Linked DNA regions of Drosophila melanogaster. The protein of the gene in region 3 interacts with the protein of the main gene of each other region in a pairwise test. Each region holds a gene or a part of one and is shown on either strand. Other genes may lie near its edges. The genes, in order: SrpRalpha, udd, PSMG1 and Vdup1.

What was found.
Region 1: the proteins of PSMG1 (region 3) and SrpRalpha interact in a two-hybrid assay, tested with the Drosophila melanogaster proteins (one large-scale study listed by BioGRID).
Region 2: the proteins of PSMG1 (region 3) and udd interact in a two-hybrid assay, tested with the Drosophila melanogaster proteins (one large-scale study listed by BioGRID).
Region 4: the proteins of PSMG1 (region 3) and Vdup1 interact in a two-hybrid assay, tested with the Drosophila melanogaster proteins (one large-scale study listed by BioGRID).

What each region holds. Positions count from the first base shown.
Region 1 is NC_004354.4:11,126,019-11,131,246, reverse strand, and holds SrpRalpha (signal recognition particle receptor alpha), read left to right. Parts: upstream 1-2,159; 5' UTR 2,160-2,272; coding exon 2,273-2,389; intron 2,390-2,457; coding exon 2,458-3,096; intron 3,097-3,183; coding exon 3,184-4,272; 3' UTR 4,273-4,370; downstream 4,371-5,228. Other genes in the region: Klp10A (Kinesin-like protein at 10A), read left to right, coding at 1-267; Rpt3 (regulatory particle triple-A ATPase 3), read right to left, coding at 4,561-5,228. UniProt on the Drosophila melanogaster protein: Component of the SRP (signal recognition particle) receptor. Ensures, in conjunction with the signal recognition particle, the correct targeting of the nascent secretory proteins to the endoplasmic reticulum membrane system.
Region 2 is NT_033778.4:8,104,484-8,108,282, forward strand, and holds udd (under-developed), read left to right. Parts: upstream 1-1,901; 5' UTR 1,902-1,972; coding exon 1,973-2,452; 3' UTR 2,453-2,890; downstream 2,891-3,799. Other genes in the region: Cul4 (cullin 4), read right to left, coding at 1-156, 208-668, 730-974, 1,042-1,366.
Region 3 is NT_033777.3:5,792,473-5,796,312, forward strand, and holds PSMG1 (proteasome assembly chaperone 1), read right to left. Parts: upstream 1,846-3,840; 5' UTR 1,751-1,845; coding exon 1,650-1,750; intron 1,597-1,649; coding exon 1,169-1,596; intron 1,105-1,168; coding exon 926-1,104; 3' UTR 851-925; downstream 1-850. Other genes in the region: Hpf1 (histone PARylation factor 1), read left to right, coding at 1-850; CG10979 (uncharacterized protein), read left to right, coding at 2,413-2,568, 2,677-2,823, 2,906-3,368, 3,439-3,586.
Region 4 is NT_037436.4:175,299-180,813, reverse strand, and holds Vdup1 (vitamin D[[3]] up-regulated protein 1), read left to right. Parts: upstream 1-1,850; 5' UTR 1,851-1,981; intron 1,982-2,178; exon of another isoform or gene 2,179-2,317; intron 2,318-2,508; exon of another isoform or gene 2,509-2,940; 5' UTR 2,941-2,976; coding exon 2,977-3,432; intron 3,433-3,485; coding exon 3,486-3,668; intron 3,669-3,734; coding exon 3,735-4,124; 3' UTR 4,125-4,312; downstream 4,313-5,515. Other genes in the region: CG13875 (uncharacterized protein), read right to left, coding at 1-37; CG7049 (uncharacterized protein), read left to right, coding at 4,611-5,515.

The DNA.
Region 1 (5,228 bases), on a different chromosome or scaffold from region 3:
CAGCAGACGGAGGAGATGGTGGTGGAGTATCATCGCACCGTTAATGCCACACTGGAGACCTTCCTCGCCGAGTCGAAGGCGCTGTACAATCTGACCAACTATGTGGACTACGACCAGGACTCGTACTGCAAACGGGGCGAGTCGATGTTCTCGCAGCTGCTGGACATCGCCATCCAGTGCCGCGACATGATGGCCGAATATCGCGCCAAGTTGGCCAAGGAGGAGATGCTGTCGTGCAGCTTCAATTCGCCGAATGGCAAGCGTTAGTTCATTCCCGCATTCGACCCGTTCATCCACAATCACCAACAATCATCCACCACACCCAACCAGGCGTACACTTTACATTACAAATTCCCTCTGGCTTCCCAATGGACGTGTCTGTCGTGCAGTCCCCTAAAACAATCTCTCTATCACCTTTGCCCCAAACCGTCGAGTTTATGTCGCTGCGAGTTTATGGTTTATTAAGTTTTTAACTGATAAATAATAGTCGAGAGCCTATATTTTACAAACGAACTAAGCACGGGAACAGACCAGATACCACAGCATTAATACCATTATGAGAGCAACGCAAACCAATAAAAAGGAACTCAACTGAAAACTGAAGACAGGCTAGGCTGGCTGGCCACGACTTTGTTTGGATTCGCCGTGAACTATGATTATATGAATATAATTGTAATTTCAGCGCAGTCGATACTCTAATTGTGTAAAAGAAAAAGACATTTACTATACAATATATATATATTTACTACTTACAAACATACGTTCTACTCTAAACAATGATATGAGATTCCATTTAATTTTTAACAAATAACCTTATGCGATTCGATTCGATGCGATTTGTTTCCCTCATTTTTGTTCATTTTGTAGAATTACTCGACCAGAGTTGTTTGTTCATGCCACGGCACAAATCTACTAGTTTTTAAATTACGAACTAATCGCGCATTGTATTTATTTAAAGGCCACAAAACTGTATTTAATTTGTATTAATTTATTAAAGTACTACTGCACCAAATCCGATTTACATACGTATTCCCATAGCCAGTAACTATTAATGATTTTCACACGCAAACCGAACTGCAATCTTAGACAGCAAGTGTTTTTTTTTGTGAAACTTTTTATGCCCCTTCTTTATAAATTTATATATCTACATATAAATTATTTACATTATATTTTTTTTTGTCATTTTAAGCGACTTCGGTGAAGAATTTAAAATGCAAACTGTTTTTGCTATACGATTATTATGATTTAGAGATGATTTGCATTTCATTTTGTACTAATATTTATTGCATATATTTAATTATGTTTACACGACTAAAAACTAAACTATCGAAAGCAAATCAAACGAAACTTAACCAAATCATGGATTTCCACACACTGCTGTTTGTGCTGCGATAAAAACGAAACAACAAAGCAAAATACACTGAGAAAAAACACACACACAAATCTGTTCCAAATAGCGGAGAACCTAGTATCGTAGCCTTAAAAAGAAAAGTAAAAAAGAAAGCAAACAAAGCAAACTAAACTAAATCGAAAATGTGAACGAAACATACTCACGTGCTTCTCCTAAAGTATTTATCCAATCAAGACGTTTAATCTTTTTGTTATGGCATTTCCTCAGAGCACTTTAAAAATGAAAATACTAAACAAAACCCAAGGCAGGCGAATGATAATGATAAACCATTTTTTAATCCACCAAATGCGAGTTTTTAAAACAATGTTAATATGGCAAAACCAACTGAATGAGTGCTTCGATATTATGCGGTATAAATAATGAAAGTGTTAGGACTTGGACTCTAATAATGTATTATTAAATATAAATAATAAATTATATTGTAATGAAACGTGAACATACACAACTAAATTTAACATTAAAGATGTGTAAAGCAAAAACAAAGGACTCTTCATTTATTTTCGAATGGGAACTAGTTTTTAATCATAAAAACAGGGAATCCTCTAACTGCTGCCCTACATTTGAAATGTATAAGTTAGCTTGGAACTACTGTATTTGCATTTCATATGAATAATAGACTTCTAGTGAAATTAATATTGCTTATTGTTTTTTTTTTTTTCAAATTGAACTATTTGTATTTAACGGTTTTTCGGCTTTCAAAAGTGACAGCTTTCGATATCGATAACGCGCGTAGCTATCGAGCGCGCTGCCATCGCTAGGCAAGTGACGTGGAACGTGTGGCAACTTTTGATTTGATGCAAATGCAATGCGAGTAGAGTGCGTTGTTGTTGAAAGTGACGACGGATCGGAAGCGTAGCTAAAATGTTGGACTTTGTGGTGATATTCACCAAGGGCGGAGTGGTGCTGTGGCACTCGAACGCGTCCGGTAACAGTTTCGCCTCCTGCATCAACAGCCTGATACGTGGCGTCATTCTGGAGGTAAGTGCATGCACGGATTTGGTTGTGAATGCACCAATGGACACTAATGTGCTTTTGTGCGGCTGCAGGAGCGCAACACAGAGGCCAAGTACTACGAGGAGGACCACCTGGCCGTGCAGTTTAAGCTGGACAACGAACTGGACCTGGTCTATGCGGCCATTTTCCAGAAGGTGATCAAACTGAACTACCTAGATGGATTCCTGGCCGACATGCAGGCGGCCTTCAAGGAAAAGTACGGCGACATACGTCTGGGCGATGACTACGACTTCGATCGCGAATATCGACGCGTGCTCAGCGCCGCGGAGGAGGCGTCCGCCAAGCAAGTGAAAGCACCTAAAACCATGCGCTCCTACAACGAGTCACAGAAATCGAAAAAGACCGTCGCCTCGATGATACAGGACGACAAGAAGCCGGTGGAGAAGCGGGTGAACATCCAGGAGGCCCCGCCACCATCCAAATCACAGCCGTCGTCGCCACCGACGGGCTCCCCAATGGACAAGATCATCATGGAGAAACGGCGCAAGCTGCGCGAAAAGCTCACGCCCACCAAGAAGACCTCGCCCAGTGATTCCAAGTCCAGCAAGCCCGAGAAGGCCGGCAAGAAGCCACGCGTCTGGGATCTGGGCGGTAATTCCAAGGATGCCGCTCTGCTCGATCGCTCCAGGGATTCGCCCGATGATGTGCAGTACCAGAACATCAACAGCGAGGTGAGTACTAACTTTCACTTTCCCCGAACGCGACTCGCATTCAAAGTGAAATCACGAACTCATTATTATCATTTTTCATACTCGCAGCTGGTGGGCACAATGCAGGGCGTCATCCGCGACTTGGATGTGGAGAGCGAGGACGAGGCTGACAACGAGGATGCATCCTCTGAGGGGGAGGCCGAGGAGCAGGTGCAGTCAAAGAAGGGCAAGCGCGGTGGCCTGCTATCCTACTTCAAGGGCATTGTAGGCGCCAAGACCATGTCGCTGGCAGATTTGCAGCCGGCGCTGGAGAAGATGCGCGACCATCTGATATCGAAGAACGTGGCCTCTGAGATAGCAGCTAAGCTGTGCGACTCGGTGGCCGCCAGTTTGGATGGCAAGCAAATGGGCACATTCGACAGCATCGCCAGCCAGGTGAAGGAGGCGCTCACGGAATCGCTGGTGAGGATACTATCGCCCAAACGGCGCATCGACATCATACGCGATGCCCTCGAATCGAAGCGCAACGGCCGCCCGTACACGATAATCTTCTGCGGTGTCAATGGTGTCGGCAAGTCCACCAATTTGGCCAAGATCTGCTTTTGGCTGATCGAGAACGATTTCAACGTTCTGATCGCCGCCTGCGATACGTTCCGAGCCGGTGCCGTCGAGCAGTTGCGCACACACACACGCCATCTGAACGCACTGCATCCGGCGGCCAAGCACGATGGACGCAACATGGTGCAGTTGTACGAGAAGGGTTACGGCAAGGATGCCGCCGGCATTGCCATGGAGGCCATCAAGTTTGCCCACGATACGCGAGTGGATGTGGTGCTTGTGGACACCGCCGGACGCATGCAGGATAACGAGCCGCTGATGCGTTCCCTGTCCAAGCTAATCAAAGTGAACAATCCGGATCTGGTGCTATTCGTGGGCGAGGCACTGGTGGGCAACGAAGCCGTCGACCAGCTGGTCAAGTTCAATCAGTCGCTGGCCGACTACTCATCCAACGAGAACCCGCACATCATCGACGGCATAGTGTTGACCAAGTTCGATACCATCGATGACAAGGTGGGCGCCGCCATCTCCATGACCTACATAACCGGCCAGCCAATTGTGTTCGTGGGCACGGGTCAGACGTATGCCGACCTAAAGGCCATCAATGTGAACGCCGTGGTCAATTCCCTGATGAAGTAAGCCAGCCGTCGATCCGGCTATCCTTCCAATGCTCCTTGTTTGCATCCACTCTTTTCACCGAATCAAATATATGGCTTTTGTCTAGTTTGTTGTTGCGTAAATGGAATGCTTTGCCCACTGTTGGCTGTTGGTTCGTTTAGGATTAAGGATCGCTTGGCACTTCGATTACAAGTTGTTTTGTTTTTTTTTATTTTTTTATTAATGTTTATAACTTTATGCGTACAAAGAAGAGTTTAGTGTGTTGGGGGAAAAAATGGGGCGGGAGTAGTGTGTATGAATTAATATAATCTATTTGTAGAACTCGTGCTCCTGCTCGTCCTTCTTGATATTGTTCTTGTAGCCCTTCTCGAAGTCCTTGGCCAAAACGATGTAGCGATTCTCACGCACCGCGTGCATGCCCGCCTCTTGGCAAATGGCGTTGATATCGGCACCGGAGATCTTGTCCGGCCGCGCCACAAACTCCTCCAAATCGACATCCTCGCTTAGGTTCATCTTCGAGGTGATGGTGGAGAAGACGAGTCGCTTCTGCCGGCGATCGGGCAGCGGGAACTCAATCTTACGATCCAATCGACCAGGTCGCAGCAATGCCGGATCGAGTGTGTCCGCCCTGTTGGTAGCCATGATCACCTTAACGTTCGTGGTCTGATCGAACCCGTCCATCTGGTTGAGCAGCTCGAGCAGAATGCGCTGCACCTCGCGATCGGCGCCAGTCTGCGCATCGAAACGCTTCGTGGCAATCGCATCGATCTCGTCAATGAAGATGATGGCCGGCGCGTTCTCCTTGGCCAGCCTGAAAACGTCGCGCACCATGCGCGGTCCCTCGCCGAGGTACTTCTGCACGAACTCCGAGCCGACGACGCGTATGAACGACGCCGTCGTATGATGGGCCACCGCCTTGGCCAACATGGTCTTGCCGCAACCGGGCGGACCGTACATAAGCACGCCGCGCGGCGGAT
Region 2 (3,799 bases), on a different chromosome or scaffold from region 3:
TCGGATGTTCCATTTTTGACTCGACTAAGCAGCCCGTACAACAGTGTAAGGTCACTCAGTCTGTTGTCTTCCAACAATGAATCCAAGCCCTTCTGCAATATTGACGTTAGGTGTTCGGCAAGTAACTCTTTTTCCACATTGTAAATCAGTGGATGTCTGTAAAAAACGCATTAATAATTGTTTTTATTATTGACTTCGCCAGCATACTTGGTGCTCGAGTCCAGATAGTGACGCAAACGCTCGTTCTCCTCGGCCAAACGCTTGTTGACGTGTTGTAAGTACTCGGGAACTTCCAGTTCTTGCATCTTGCGTTGACTCTCAGCCTTATACAATTGATTGGTTGCGTCGAGGAACTTCTCCTCAAAGGAGCTGGTGTAGATCTGCAGGTCGCATAACATGCGAACCAAGCTCTTCAGCAAACCACGGTCCACGGTGGAGCCTTGTCGTTCTTTTTCAATAAGCGTTAGTAAACCGTCGACGGTTCGCTTTTGGACAACGCTGTTTTGAGCAAAATGGATGCGAAAAAGGTCCAGCCCCATGTCCCAAATCGAGTGAACGGTCGAATTTTGCAGCACATAAGTTCGATCCATATACAAGAATATGCTGCGAATCATGATCATTTGTTGGCAGAACGAGAGCCACCAGTGGTTGATCTTTTCCAGCAAAATCTAAAAGACAATAAAAGTTGACGAGTAAACCTTTAAATGTGCTCCTTAAACAGCAACTTACCAGTTTGTCCATGCTACCGCCGGTGAGCTCCTTGAGCTTAATATTGCGCTTTACGTGTTGCTCTGTTAGCTCCTTGAGTTTCGCGTATAATTGTGCATCCATCTTGTGGCTACACATGTTCACCACCGCCTGGTAGAGCTCCTCCAGCGAATATTTAATGGGCTTGGAGAGTTGGATGGCGATAACGGCTTCTTCAAGCTTCACGTACGTGTCCTTGGAATAGTTATCGGGCAGTGTAGGCTTATCTAAGGAAGGAAGGAAGGAAGTTGAATCATGCAGTATACAAACAGTTGAGATCTAGACGGGACCTACCCTTAAAGTTCTTAATCACTATCTTCTTGACATCGCCAGGCTTGCTGTTGTGAATAGCCCCCATGCGATTGAGGAGATTTGAGGTAGTTGAAGCCGTGCGGATCTCGCCATGGCTGCCGCCTAGCTTGGAGAAGTTTGGCAGGCGCTCGCCGTTGGTGGACGCAGAATTCATGTTTTGGGCAGCGAAGGCACTGCGGCCCACGCTCGAGGCGGCAGCAGCGGTGGGGGCGACGTTCTCGGCCTTCTTCAGGCAGGCGGCAATATTCTCTGTGTTCTCGTGCAGCTCAGTTGTGTCCATGGGCTTGTACTTCTTGGCCGCACTCATAGCTTAGGGCCCCTGCTGCCAGCAGGATCTCCACTCCGCTCCTGCTCTCCTGATCCTGCCCTGCTTTCGTCGCACCGGCTTTGCTTAGTCCTGGGCGTGGAGATCGGTTATTGATTGCTGGCTTTTCCTTTAAGGGAAGGGATTGCAGTTTGTATTTCGATACGTACCCTTGAAATGATTACCAGCAAATATTCGTAATATTTTTGCGACTTTTGCACTGGGGTCGTCAAGAAATTGGCAACTTGCGAACTCAAGGCAAATAGACTTCCTGTGAATTTTCCGGCTGCGAAGTAGATTTCTCCGACAAACGGCGTCCTTTTGGACAAATGGGGTTCCTTCGACGCCTGAGAGACTATTCAAATCGACAAAACTTCGGAAGTACAATTACACAGGCAACATTTTATTATTTCGCTTTTGGTTGCATGCGGAAAATATTGCTTTTTGGGATATCGGACGAATCAAAACATCGATTGGCTGCGGGTAATCGATAGCTCAGCGGGCAGCACTGCCTATCGATATTGGTGTGAAACAGGTTAACATTGCCTATCACTGTTAGCACGACGCATTGTGTTCGCGACGCATTTATGTTCGCTTTCGCCATATAAAATGAAAACAAAAGATGAGAAGCCATCGCCTTTGAAAACTGCACCGCGTAAAATAAAGGGTGAGAATTTTCCAGCCAGAAGGATACCCGCAAATGTTTTGAAACGCACGCTTGAGATCGCCACCAGTCCCGAAGATGGCTTTTGGGTGAACCAAAACCCATCCTGTGCTCCTCCGGCCAGTAACGAGTTTTACTTCAGCGTTCGACGATCCACTGCGTACGAGAAACTACGACTGGCCCGGGATTGCCTTATGCAGCGGGACTACAAGAACTTGGCAAAAATACTGGCCTCCAATCATATGGGAGAAACGCTGCTCCAAAGGGCGTCCTTTCAAATATTCACGGAATACTCCAAGGTTCTTCAAAAGTGCCCAAAGTTCTACACGAAAATGGAGCAGTTGCGAGTGGAGCCGACTCCTCCGACGAGACCCACAGATGAAGACATAGCATTAGACGATTCATTAAATGCTATTCTATCCTAGTTACCTTTTTTAATAACGACGAAGTTAGGCAAGAAATATAATATAACTACCTCATAAAAAAACGCATATTAAATTGCCTATTAAAACTGCGTCCATCCCACTAATATATAGTGACGTATTTGGGTGGTCCAAACCAGCCACTTCCATTATTTCAAAGAAATCAGTAATGCACTCTAGTAATTTTCCATAACGTATCCCAGCTGCGCAGCATTCGTTTATCTTTGGCAGCGCAGCCGTTCTTGTAAACATCCTAAAGCCTGACCTAAGCAGATTTGACTGCCCTCTTTCAACGCTACCTAATCTTAAGAACCCAAGAGCGAGGCTCTCCCGAAATACAAATATTGTTCAAATACTGAGGCTTCTCCTCAATCCAATTTGCATTTGATTTTTAGTCTTAAGCTGAGATCCAAAGAATAAAGTCGTGAAACTATTTCTCCTAAAAACTATTTTTTATTTCTTGGCGTTGTCCTTAGTCAACTGACGGGACATTAGTTCGACTCATAAATAAAACAACAATTTTACTGGCGCAGTCGGTAGGATACAAAAGTATCCGAAAAAAAAAGAACCTTCGAGTGGAAAATAAGTTAAATTTTATAGTCCAGTGCTCGAAACATCTCCCAAAATAAATTCGTGAAAACTCTTCAACTTGGATTATAATTCCAATTCGGTTATCCAATAATAAGTGGAAGTGAAATACGAAACAAAAATATTAAGTCCAAAGGCAACTAAGTTTTAAAACCAACATATAAAAATAAAAAATTAAAACAATATAGAATTTTAATAATACAACACAAAAATTTACAAAACAAAAAAAAACAAACAAGTGAAACTAGAAAGCTTAAAAATAATAATAACATTGAATCCGAAACAAAACAAAAAAATAAAACACAAAAGTTAAAAATTTTACAATAAAAATGTCACAACCAATTATTGCGCTGAGCGACATAAACCTTGCCGAAGCCCGTCGGCAGCTTAAAGACATTATGCCATTCAAGGGTGATCCAGAAACCCTTCACACCTTTATCAGCAGAGTGGATTACGTAATTTCGCTCTACCAAACAAATGATGTCCGACAACAGAGGATTCTACTGGGAGCCATCGAAAGGAACTTGGACGGACAAATTACACGATCTTTGGGACTTCCGAACATCGAAGATTGGCCTACCCTTAAAGCAAGACTCATCGCGGAATTTAAAATTCAAACACCAAACTACAAACTTCTGGAGAACTTCAGGGAGACACCATACAGAGGAAGCCTAAGAGCATTCTGCGAAGAAGCGGAGAGACGACGTCAATTACTAATTTCGAAACTACACCTGGAAGGTAACCAATCGGATTTTCTTATTT
Region 3 (3,840 bases):
CTTGGAGCACCTAGACAAAGTATTTCAACTGCAGTTGGTGGGTCCCTTTGAGTTCCTAGCCGGTAAATTTCACGGCGCCAAACTAGGCGAACCGGGAGACTACCTGCGCCACTGGCGTTTTTACTACGATCCACCAGAATTTCAGACGATCTTCGTGCGCCGAGGCACTGGGATTCACTACGGTTACTGGCGCGATGTGCCGCAGGACAAGGAAAATCTCTTAATAGCCCGCAACGACTCTGCGAAAGGCTGCCAGTTCCAATTCGTCGCTGGAAATGCCTTCGATGCTTTCCTCTACTACCTGGAGCACGATTTTGCGGCCACTCCGTTCTCATGCGGGCAGTTGGCGGGGACCAAAAAGGCGGTGGCAAAATACCTGAGTGACAATTCCCTAGAACTGGCCCAGCTGGACCGACTGCAGCGGGAGCGCAACAAGCGTGTTGTGGCCAAGACATTCCACCGAGCCGGCATTGTTGTGCCCTTTGACCAGAAGACAGAAGTGGGATACCGCCCGCTGGCTGTCAGCGATTCCGAACTCAAGAAGATGCTGGCAATGCTTGAGCGGAAGGACGTCGATAATGGAGCCGCCAAGCAGGCGGTTCTGGAGAAGCTGCAGCCGGTGGCCAACGCAGCCAACATAGCAGTTGATGAATCGGACTTTGGAAGCGCCCTGGAACTAGGCATCGATATGTTCTGCAGTGGGCACAAGGAGCTGCACATGCTTGCCTCATCGTTGCTGGTACCCGCCTATTCAATGCTTTCCCGTCCACAGTTCATAGCCATCGCCAAGGCGCACATGGAGCAACGTAGTCGGGAGGACAACCTCAGCATTTTTGATGTACTTAAGTAGTTCGATTTTTATTCCGCAACCGTATCATTTTTACAAGCATTAAAACTAGGAAGTTGAGCACAGCCAAAAGTAGTTTCACATGTACAAATAAGAGCTCTCCTTCCGCGGAGGGATGTAGCTCGAGCTGCAGGCAACGCCCGCGGCTTTAAGTACCTTGATCACTGGCTGCGCAGCTGTGGCGTCGAGGGGCAGCTTGTCGGTGTAAATAACGAAAGAGGTAACAGGCAATTCCATCTGATCCCGCCAACTGGCAACTGCAAAAAAAGGTGAACAGATGGTGAGGTGATTCAACCTTCTCCTTTTCCACTCATCACTCACCGCCTGCTGCAACTCCAGCGATAAAGTTGGGAGCCTCTAGTTCAGTGATATCCTTCTGGTTGGCACCTATGCCGCGGACAACGGCAATGTGATCCCGGTAGAGCTGGATGTCCTCGCTTTTGAACTCGACCTTTGGCTTAAGCGTCAGAGTGATCACTTTCTTGGCAAGCTTCACGTACGGCAGTAGGAGCTCCGCTACCTCGCCGCTACTGGTCAGGTCCTCGTTGATTATGGCCAGCAACTGTTTGGACGAATGACTCCAGTGCAGGGTCGAGTTATTGGCAGGAATGGCGCACACACGCTTTGCATCCTTTTCCAGCAGAGAAGAGGCGAAGTGAGTGACGTTGACGCCCTCAATGACCACCAGCATCTCGCTCTCCACAGGGGCAGCTTCCCCATCGCAATCATCATCAAACTTCAGCTGCAGCCTGCGAATCCAAGAAATTAGGACTACCTACGTAAATAACATTAGATCACGCACTTCTCCACCGGCTTAAGGTTCTCCAATTCATCCTCGTCGCAGTCGTCCCAGAAGGCACGCGACGAGGGTATATTTAGTTCTCCAAATCCTGGACAGCTCATCGTGTCTGTTTTGATTTAATAAAAAAGGTGAAACTAATATGATGAGCCTAATTCCGGTCACTATGTTTTTTTCAAGTCATCAGTGTGACCATGTGCTGAACGCCAAAATAAACGTTTTTCTATTTGAATAAATTACATTTGCAGGTAATATTTAGGAACTTTTAGCGCTTTTTCTGAACTTATTAGGGCTTGGCATGTCAATTAAAGATTTAACAATAAGCTAATTCCAAAATTATGTATTGACAATATTGTTTGGGGGTTTTGAGAATTGATGGAAGTTACGCCCACTGAGCAAGGGAGAAATCAAACTTCAATTGTTAGTTCTAGTCGAATATTAAAACAAATGTGGTTCCAGCTTATTGGTTTTGCCTGATTAAATATTTTCGACTCTTCCGTTTTTTTTTAAGTTGAAACAAAAAATTCCGCACAGGTTAATAAAAATACCAGATCAGCATCGCAGCAGAAGCAGCGCTCAAGCACGGTCATACTGAATACAAAAAATGCAAGATGCAGGTCCATATTCGAATTGGAAAACCACTTTGATCGCTAATTAGAAACAGATTAAGAACCTCACGTCGGTGAAAATATTCCGTAGGGCAGCGCGCTAGGACAGGTCTCAAATTTTTTGGTTAGCAGTGGGAGCAAGCGCGCAAACCAGCGCCATGAGAAAGCGAAGCTCACGTTGTAACTCTGACACTTTCAAGGAGGAGCAGATGGACCACAACGGTGACGACATCAGCCTGCTGCAGCGGCCGCTGCGCACCGCCCACACGGGATTCGAGGAGGCCCGTCGGGCCTATGAGGATGGCACCAGCGAGGTGAGTCTCATCTGAGTGGAGTACGTGACTCAATTGTGGCCCGCAATGGCGGAGGCTCCTGCGCCCCAGTTTGGTGGATCCCCGGATAACAATCAGATTCTCCCACAGGTGCGCCAGCTGCTCAGTCTGGAGTGCAGCCTGATCTACGAGTGCAAGGTGTGCCGCAACATGTTTCGCAGCCTGGCCAATTTCATCAGCCACAAACGCGTCTTTTGCTGCGTCAGCGCTCGTTCGGCAAATGGCAGCGGATACACAGTGAGTGGGCAGTAAAGACAACCCCATTACAAGGTCTCTAATACCATAGGATGTCAACTAATCGCTGTTAATTCTCCCCCAGGATCAGAATTCCACTATGATCATACAAACGGGTGGTGGTCCGTCCCCGCAGGACATTGAACATATGCTACGCAGCAGAAGCACGGGATGCTCGCCTGTTCCCCGCGACGTGCGTCCCTTACGAGGAGGAGGTGGCGGCGGCATAAGGGACCTGAGTGGTGTTATAGAGCGTCTGCGACGGGAAAAGGCTACATCACAGGCCAAGTGCAGCTCGCCCACTGTTCTGCAGCTGGAGTCTGTGCCCAACTCTAGCCAGGCTGTTTATCAGACCATCAAAGTGGACCACGACGACAGCATAAGGACAGAACTGGACGAGGTGCATCGCATGCTTAATCCATCTGAAACCATTGTGGGACCCGACGGCAAGGCCTTGGCAACCGTTAAGCTGGAAAACAATGCAGGCAGCGACTCCGGCGAGCAGTCCATCAGCGACGAAACGGAGCCGAGTATTTTCTGCGAGATCTGTACGACTACCTAACCGAATAGGCCTTGAATACAATTAGTGATAGCTGTGTTTCCTAATCTCGTTCACAGGCAATCTGACGTTTCAGACGCACAAAACGCTTGAGGTGCACATTCAGAAGCATCACTCATCATCGGCGTTTGTGTTTCAGTGCCCAGCCTGTTCGCTGACCTTTCTGCAGGCCGCTGCTGTTATTCGTCATTTGTCGAAGGATCACAAGTAAGTTCAACTTAACCCGACCATAGAATTTTTATATTTTATTATTATAAAATATATGATATTATTCTACTTCAAGGGGACAGGTTCCTTTTTTCTTTCACATGGTCCATTTATATCTGCTTACTGCATACTGCATTCCTTATACATATATGTATATGTCAAAAATCATATTGTTTCCAAGGAAACAATCTAATTTACTTTCTATTTATGTGAATTTTTTAAGCCCTGAATCATAAAAACAGAACAACTAATAA
Region 4 (5,515 bases), on a different chromosome or scaffold from region 3:
CTATGGCTTCATCTCCTGGTAGTGGTAGGCTCTGCATCCCGAAGCCTTTACTGGTTATTGTGTAAGCTAGTGCTCTATGGAGGCATCACAAAGGAAGGGGTTAGCCAAAAGAGAACCTTAGATATGCTAATACAGATATGGTATAAGAAGCGTGGCGAACAAACCATTTGGTGTAATTTATGCAACCTAACCGCTTGTAAGCAGAGCTGACAATTAGTTAACAGTTCTTCTTTAGAATAAGGTCCTCTCATCGGCTGCGGCCGTCAGAACGTGTCAATTTCGGTCATTAGCTAGTTATGAAAATCTGTGGTAACTTGTGTATGGCGCTTCGATTGGACCAGTGATGAACTAGAATCAGCCTTCTTCATGTAAACACTAAGTTACTCACGGAGCGCTATTATGAGTGTCTTTATTGTTACAATTTTAACTTTCTCGCGTTCCACTGGCCCGACCGAAGACAGTTTAAAGTTTTCGATGCGAACCGTGCCTTACCAGCGCGCTCGGTATCTTCGCCACAACTGAGCCACTGCCCCAAGTCGGACATAGAAGCAGCTCGATTTAAGGGAGAGCGTGCCAGAGAGGTGAAACAAGGCAAGAGCAACGAAAACAGTGGCCAATGCGCCCAGCCAGTTGGGCATGAGAAAGTTTTGCAGGTGTAGCTCTGCTACACCTCTTGTTTTTCTCTTTGAGACTTTACGGTATCGTTGGTAAGTTTATGGAGTGGACCAGCCACTCCCCCTTGGTGATTGATGTTACACCAAGATATTCTCTGCCTTCACGTCTGGCTTTCGCTATTATTATAAGAGATGGAGATAGGCTTACTATAGGTTCCTCAGCGCCGGACTTTCAGAAAAATGATAAACAGAGCTGAGATTCGGAGATCGGTTCGGTGGTGCGCGGAGCAGCTTTGAAACCACACTGACTTTAACTCAAGAATACTTAGTTGTGGGCTCCACGAAACTTCGAGCTCAAGCGATTATCATTTTGAACCAAACTAGTATAGACGTCTCTATTCGAAACAACCTAATTTTCAGATACTCTATACGTCGAGGCCACAAACGGGAAATCTTTGGAGTCTCGTTGAAATCTCTCTTCGCGGTAAAGACTTGGGTCATTATAAAACAACAACTCCCAGCAATTAAGCCGAGAAACATTGAAATGGAAAACTATAGCCTAGCCATTGCTACTAAATGTCACTAATGCCGTTGGAAGAAATATGAAAAGCTGGAAAAGTTAAATACGAAAGTGATTTGTTTTCTCTTATAGCCAGCATAGTCTTCAAAACGATTGATTTCTTCAGTCCATATATAGTTTGACCATCGTTGCATCTCTACTCTTTCTAATATTATCTTATACTTTGTCGATCATAAGGATAACCTACAGATTCCTTTTAATAAAGTTTTCAAGGTATCTGCCACAGGACTCATTTTTTGACTAATTTTCAGGGTATAGCCATAGCTTGCCACAGCTTGCCACAGGCTGCCGAGCCATTCACCGATTCGGTTTTCGCAGCCAGTGATAGTTTGCTTGGCTTTTGGCCTTTCATTTTCATGAGCTACAGTTGAGGTTCTTCGATTTGGGTACCTTAAAACAACAAATAACCGGTATTAAATGCATGCATAATGCATAAATGTGTGCCACTTTATCCATTTTAGTCTGCACACGATTTGTCGACTATGGATAAATACCTGTAAAATATGGGCTTGGTGTTGGAAATACAGATTTATTTTCTAGGTGCAACCGAGTAACACAAGATACACCTGCTGAGCTATAGCGGGGCGACTCTGCGAGCATTGCCATATTATTAGCAAATTGCTCCTATAATCGATTCAGTTTGAACAGCTTAGCTAACCGTTGAGGTGACAATTTGGTTCTCATGCTCGTTTGGTCTTCTGTTGTCTGTGGTGCCGTTCCAGTTTTTTCCGTTTGAATTTATTCAAGAAGATACGCGCTTTGCGTATCCTGTAAGCCCGCTGGAAAGGTAAATTCAGCCATGTATTACATGAATGCAAAAGATAGTAAAAACAAAAGCGGGCTACTTATTGGCATTACGACATCAGCTGGCTCCGGCTGGGCCTCTCTCAAACGATCCCTCGCAAAAACGCGCTCAAAACAAGTTTTTCAGTCGAGCTCTCGTCCGCAAACTGATGCATAACGACGACGACGATGACGACGACGGTGATCAGTTGCCAAACAAACGCTCGAGAGCGTGGACGAGATCTTGCCAAACGAATATCGCTCAAAGGCAGAACGGGTTAAATCGGTTCGGTTTGGACTGGTGTTCCGATCTGGCCAAAAAACACCTTTGTGTGTACAGGTATTTGAAAAGCGATCATTATTTCAAGTGCGCCCACAGGGATGAAGAGAAAACAATTGATCTGTTGTGGATAAAAACAAAAATGTTGAACAATTTGAATGTAATCATTCCAATGGCAGTGTACGGTTGGGAATCCGCTTTCCACTAGGAAATTACGTCAGTTTTCTTTTCGGTTTCTGTTTCCCAATCAGGAATCATCAACATTGTCACCAGTGCACCAAACAGGCTTGCCGACAGTCGCAGTTGCAGCTTACGCTTTTGGTAAAGATGTACATACTGGAGTTTTGCCCAAATTTGTAGGCGCGGGCGTGACACGCCCGACATGCTTCATGCGCCGACCTTGCAGTTGATGCTTAAGTGTTCGGGGCTTTCGTGCTGCATAGTTGTGCACGCAGCCATCTCTTGGCCGTACGAAACTGGTTTTGTTTCCTTTGCCCGCCTAGATGCTACCCACATAAATATGCAAACAAGCGCCGTATGTATGTGAGACCGTAGTCCGTAGTACATGGTCTCAGACCTAGCCAGCTATGACGGATAAGTTGTCATTAACCATAATGACGCGTGCGGAGCGGGTCAAATATTTGGCAACCGTGTTCTAACGAATTTCGTTGGTTTTTCCTTAGGCGTACGAATGAAATCGGCAACAAAACAGAGGCACGATGCCGCGCAAGTTGCTTAAATTCCTTATCATCTTCGACAACACTTCCCTCCTGTACTTCCCGGGCCAGTTTCTCTCCGGACGGGTTCTAATCGAATTGCAGGATGAGACGCCTGCTTTGGGACTTCATTTCCATGTGGTAGGCGAAGGGGTCGTGCGCAACGGGCGGCGACAGGAGCGGACATACGATAAGGAGAACTATATCGACTTTCGGATGCGACTTCTGGGGGACGTAGACCAAGGAGGTCCAGCTATACTCTCGCCAGGAATTCACAGCTTCCCCTTCAAACTCGGCTTGCCACTGGGTCTTCCATCTACATTTCTCGGTCGGTACGGCTGGATTCAGTTCTACTGCAAGGCGGCGCTCCGCGAGAACAATGGCATTATCCATAAGAACCACCAGGTCTTCATTGTGATGAATCCCATCGACCTAAACCTTGAAAAGCCCATCTTAGCAGTAAGTAGCTTTAAAAACCCTGTTTAAAAAAACTAACCTTTCGCCTGACTCAGCAACCGTTCACCTGCGAAGTTGAGCACAAGCTAGGCGTCGTCTGTGTTGGTGGAGGTCAGATAAAGTGCAGAGTGTCCCTTGATCGCGGTGGGTATGTGCCCGGCGAGAATATTCTGGTCACCGCATTTATATCCAACTACAGTAATGTGTCCATTAAACGGACTAAGGCATCCCTCACTGAGGTCGGTATCGCTTTCAAGTGGCTAGTTACAATTCATCCATTTTGATCTTATTTGGATTTTATTTAGACCATCGAGTATTTGGCGCGGGGGAAGGTGGTGCAAACGGAAAAACGGGAGCTGGCTGTTTTAGTTCGTGGCAAGATCCGTCCGGGGGCCAAAGACGAGTGGCACAACGAGCTTTACGTTCCACCCCTGCCGCCGACCAATCTTCATGGCTGCCACCTGATCAAAATATCCTACGACGTCTTCTTCGTGATCGAACCCAAGTCCATGGAGAAGGAGATTAAGCTACAGCTTCCTATCGTGCTTGCGACGTACCCCTTTCGACACTCCGGTGATGCGGTCAATGCCAACACCTGGCCGGAATCGGTGCTTAAGCCGGACACGCACACCCACTATCCGTCCACACTACCCATATTCCGGCCCTGGCTGCACGAGAAGCCTATCGAGGCATAGCCCGCAGCTTTTAGGATTGCTGTGTATCACAACTTGTTAAGACCGATTTGCGCCATACAACAATTTAAACTTATTTAACTTATACTTAACGTTTTTTAATGTTTCTGGTCTTTGCATTTGTAGGTCTTCCGTTCCCAAAAATTTGTTCATGATTGAAGAATTTATAACAAATACAAACGAAAGTTAACATAAAGACCAGACTTTGATAAATTATAATTAGCTCATATACATAACTTTTTATAAAACCTAAATATTGTAGGTTATATATTATTAAAATGGTAAAACTGCACTCATTAACCTTCTAACTACTACTAAATGGTTATAATAATAATAATAATCCCAAAAGTATGGTTGTTGAAATTGAAATAAATTGTTTAAAACGTTACAGCCTAAAGTATGCTATTAAAAAGCTGGCTTGTTCGGAATTTAAATTCGCGAAATTAAGTATTGATTCCAAAACTAAAAAGGGCCACACTGCACGTTAAGATGACAACAATTATATTAGTCCTCTTTATTTGGATAGTTTTATTCAATGACGTATCCAGCGACTGTGGCTGCCAAAAGCTCGACCGGAAGGCCCCGGATATGCCGTCCATTTCCGGACAAGTGTGCCAGCAACGAGCACAGGGTGCACACAGCCACTACCGGGATTACTATGGCGAACTGGAGCCAAATATTGCGGACATGTCACTGCTTCCGGGAGGCACGGTTTACATGGGTACTGACAAACCGCACTTTCCGGCCGACCGCGAGGCTCCGGAACGGCAGGTGAAGCTGAATGACTTCTACATCGACAAGTATGAGGTTTCCAACGAAGCCTTTGCGAAGTTTGTTCTGCACACTAACTACACCACGGAGGCTGAGCGATATGGCGACAGTTTTCTGTTTAAGAGCCTTTTGAGCCCATTGGAGCAGAAGAACCTAGAGGACTTCCGAGTGGCGAGCGCTGTCTGGTGGTACAAAGTGGCCGGCGTGAACTGGCGACATCCAAATGGCGTGGACAGCGATATAGACCACTTAGGCCGACACCCGGTAGTGCACGTATCGTGGCGCGACGCTGTGGAGTACTGTAAGTGGGCCGGCAAGCGGTTGCCCAGCGAGGCGGAGTGGGAGGCGGCTTGCAGGGGCGGCAAGGAGCGCAAACTGTTTCCCTGGGGCAACAAGCTGATGCCAAGGAATGAACATTGGCTGAACATCTGGCAGGGAGACTTTCCCGATGGCAACCTGGCTGAAGATGGGTTTGAGTACACCAGCCCCGTGGATGCCTTCCGACAGAATATTTACGACCTGCACAACATGGTGGGCAACGTCTGGGAGTGGACGGCAGATCTGTGGGACGTAAATGACGTTAGCGATAATCCAAATCGGGTCAAGAAGGGCGGTTCTTATCT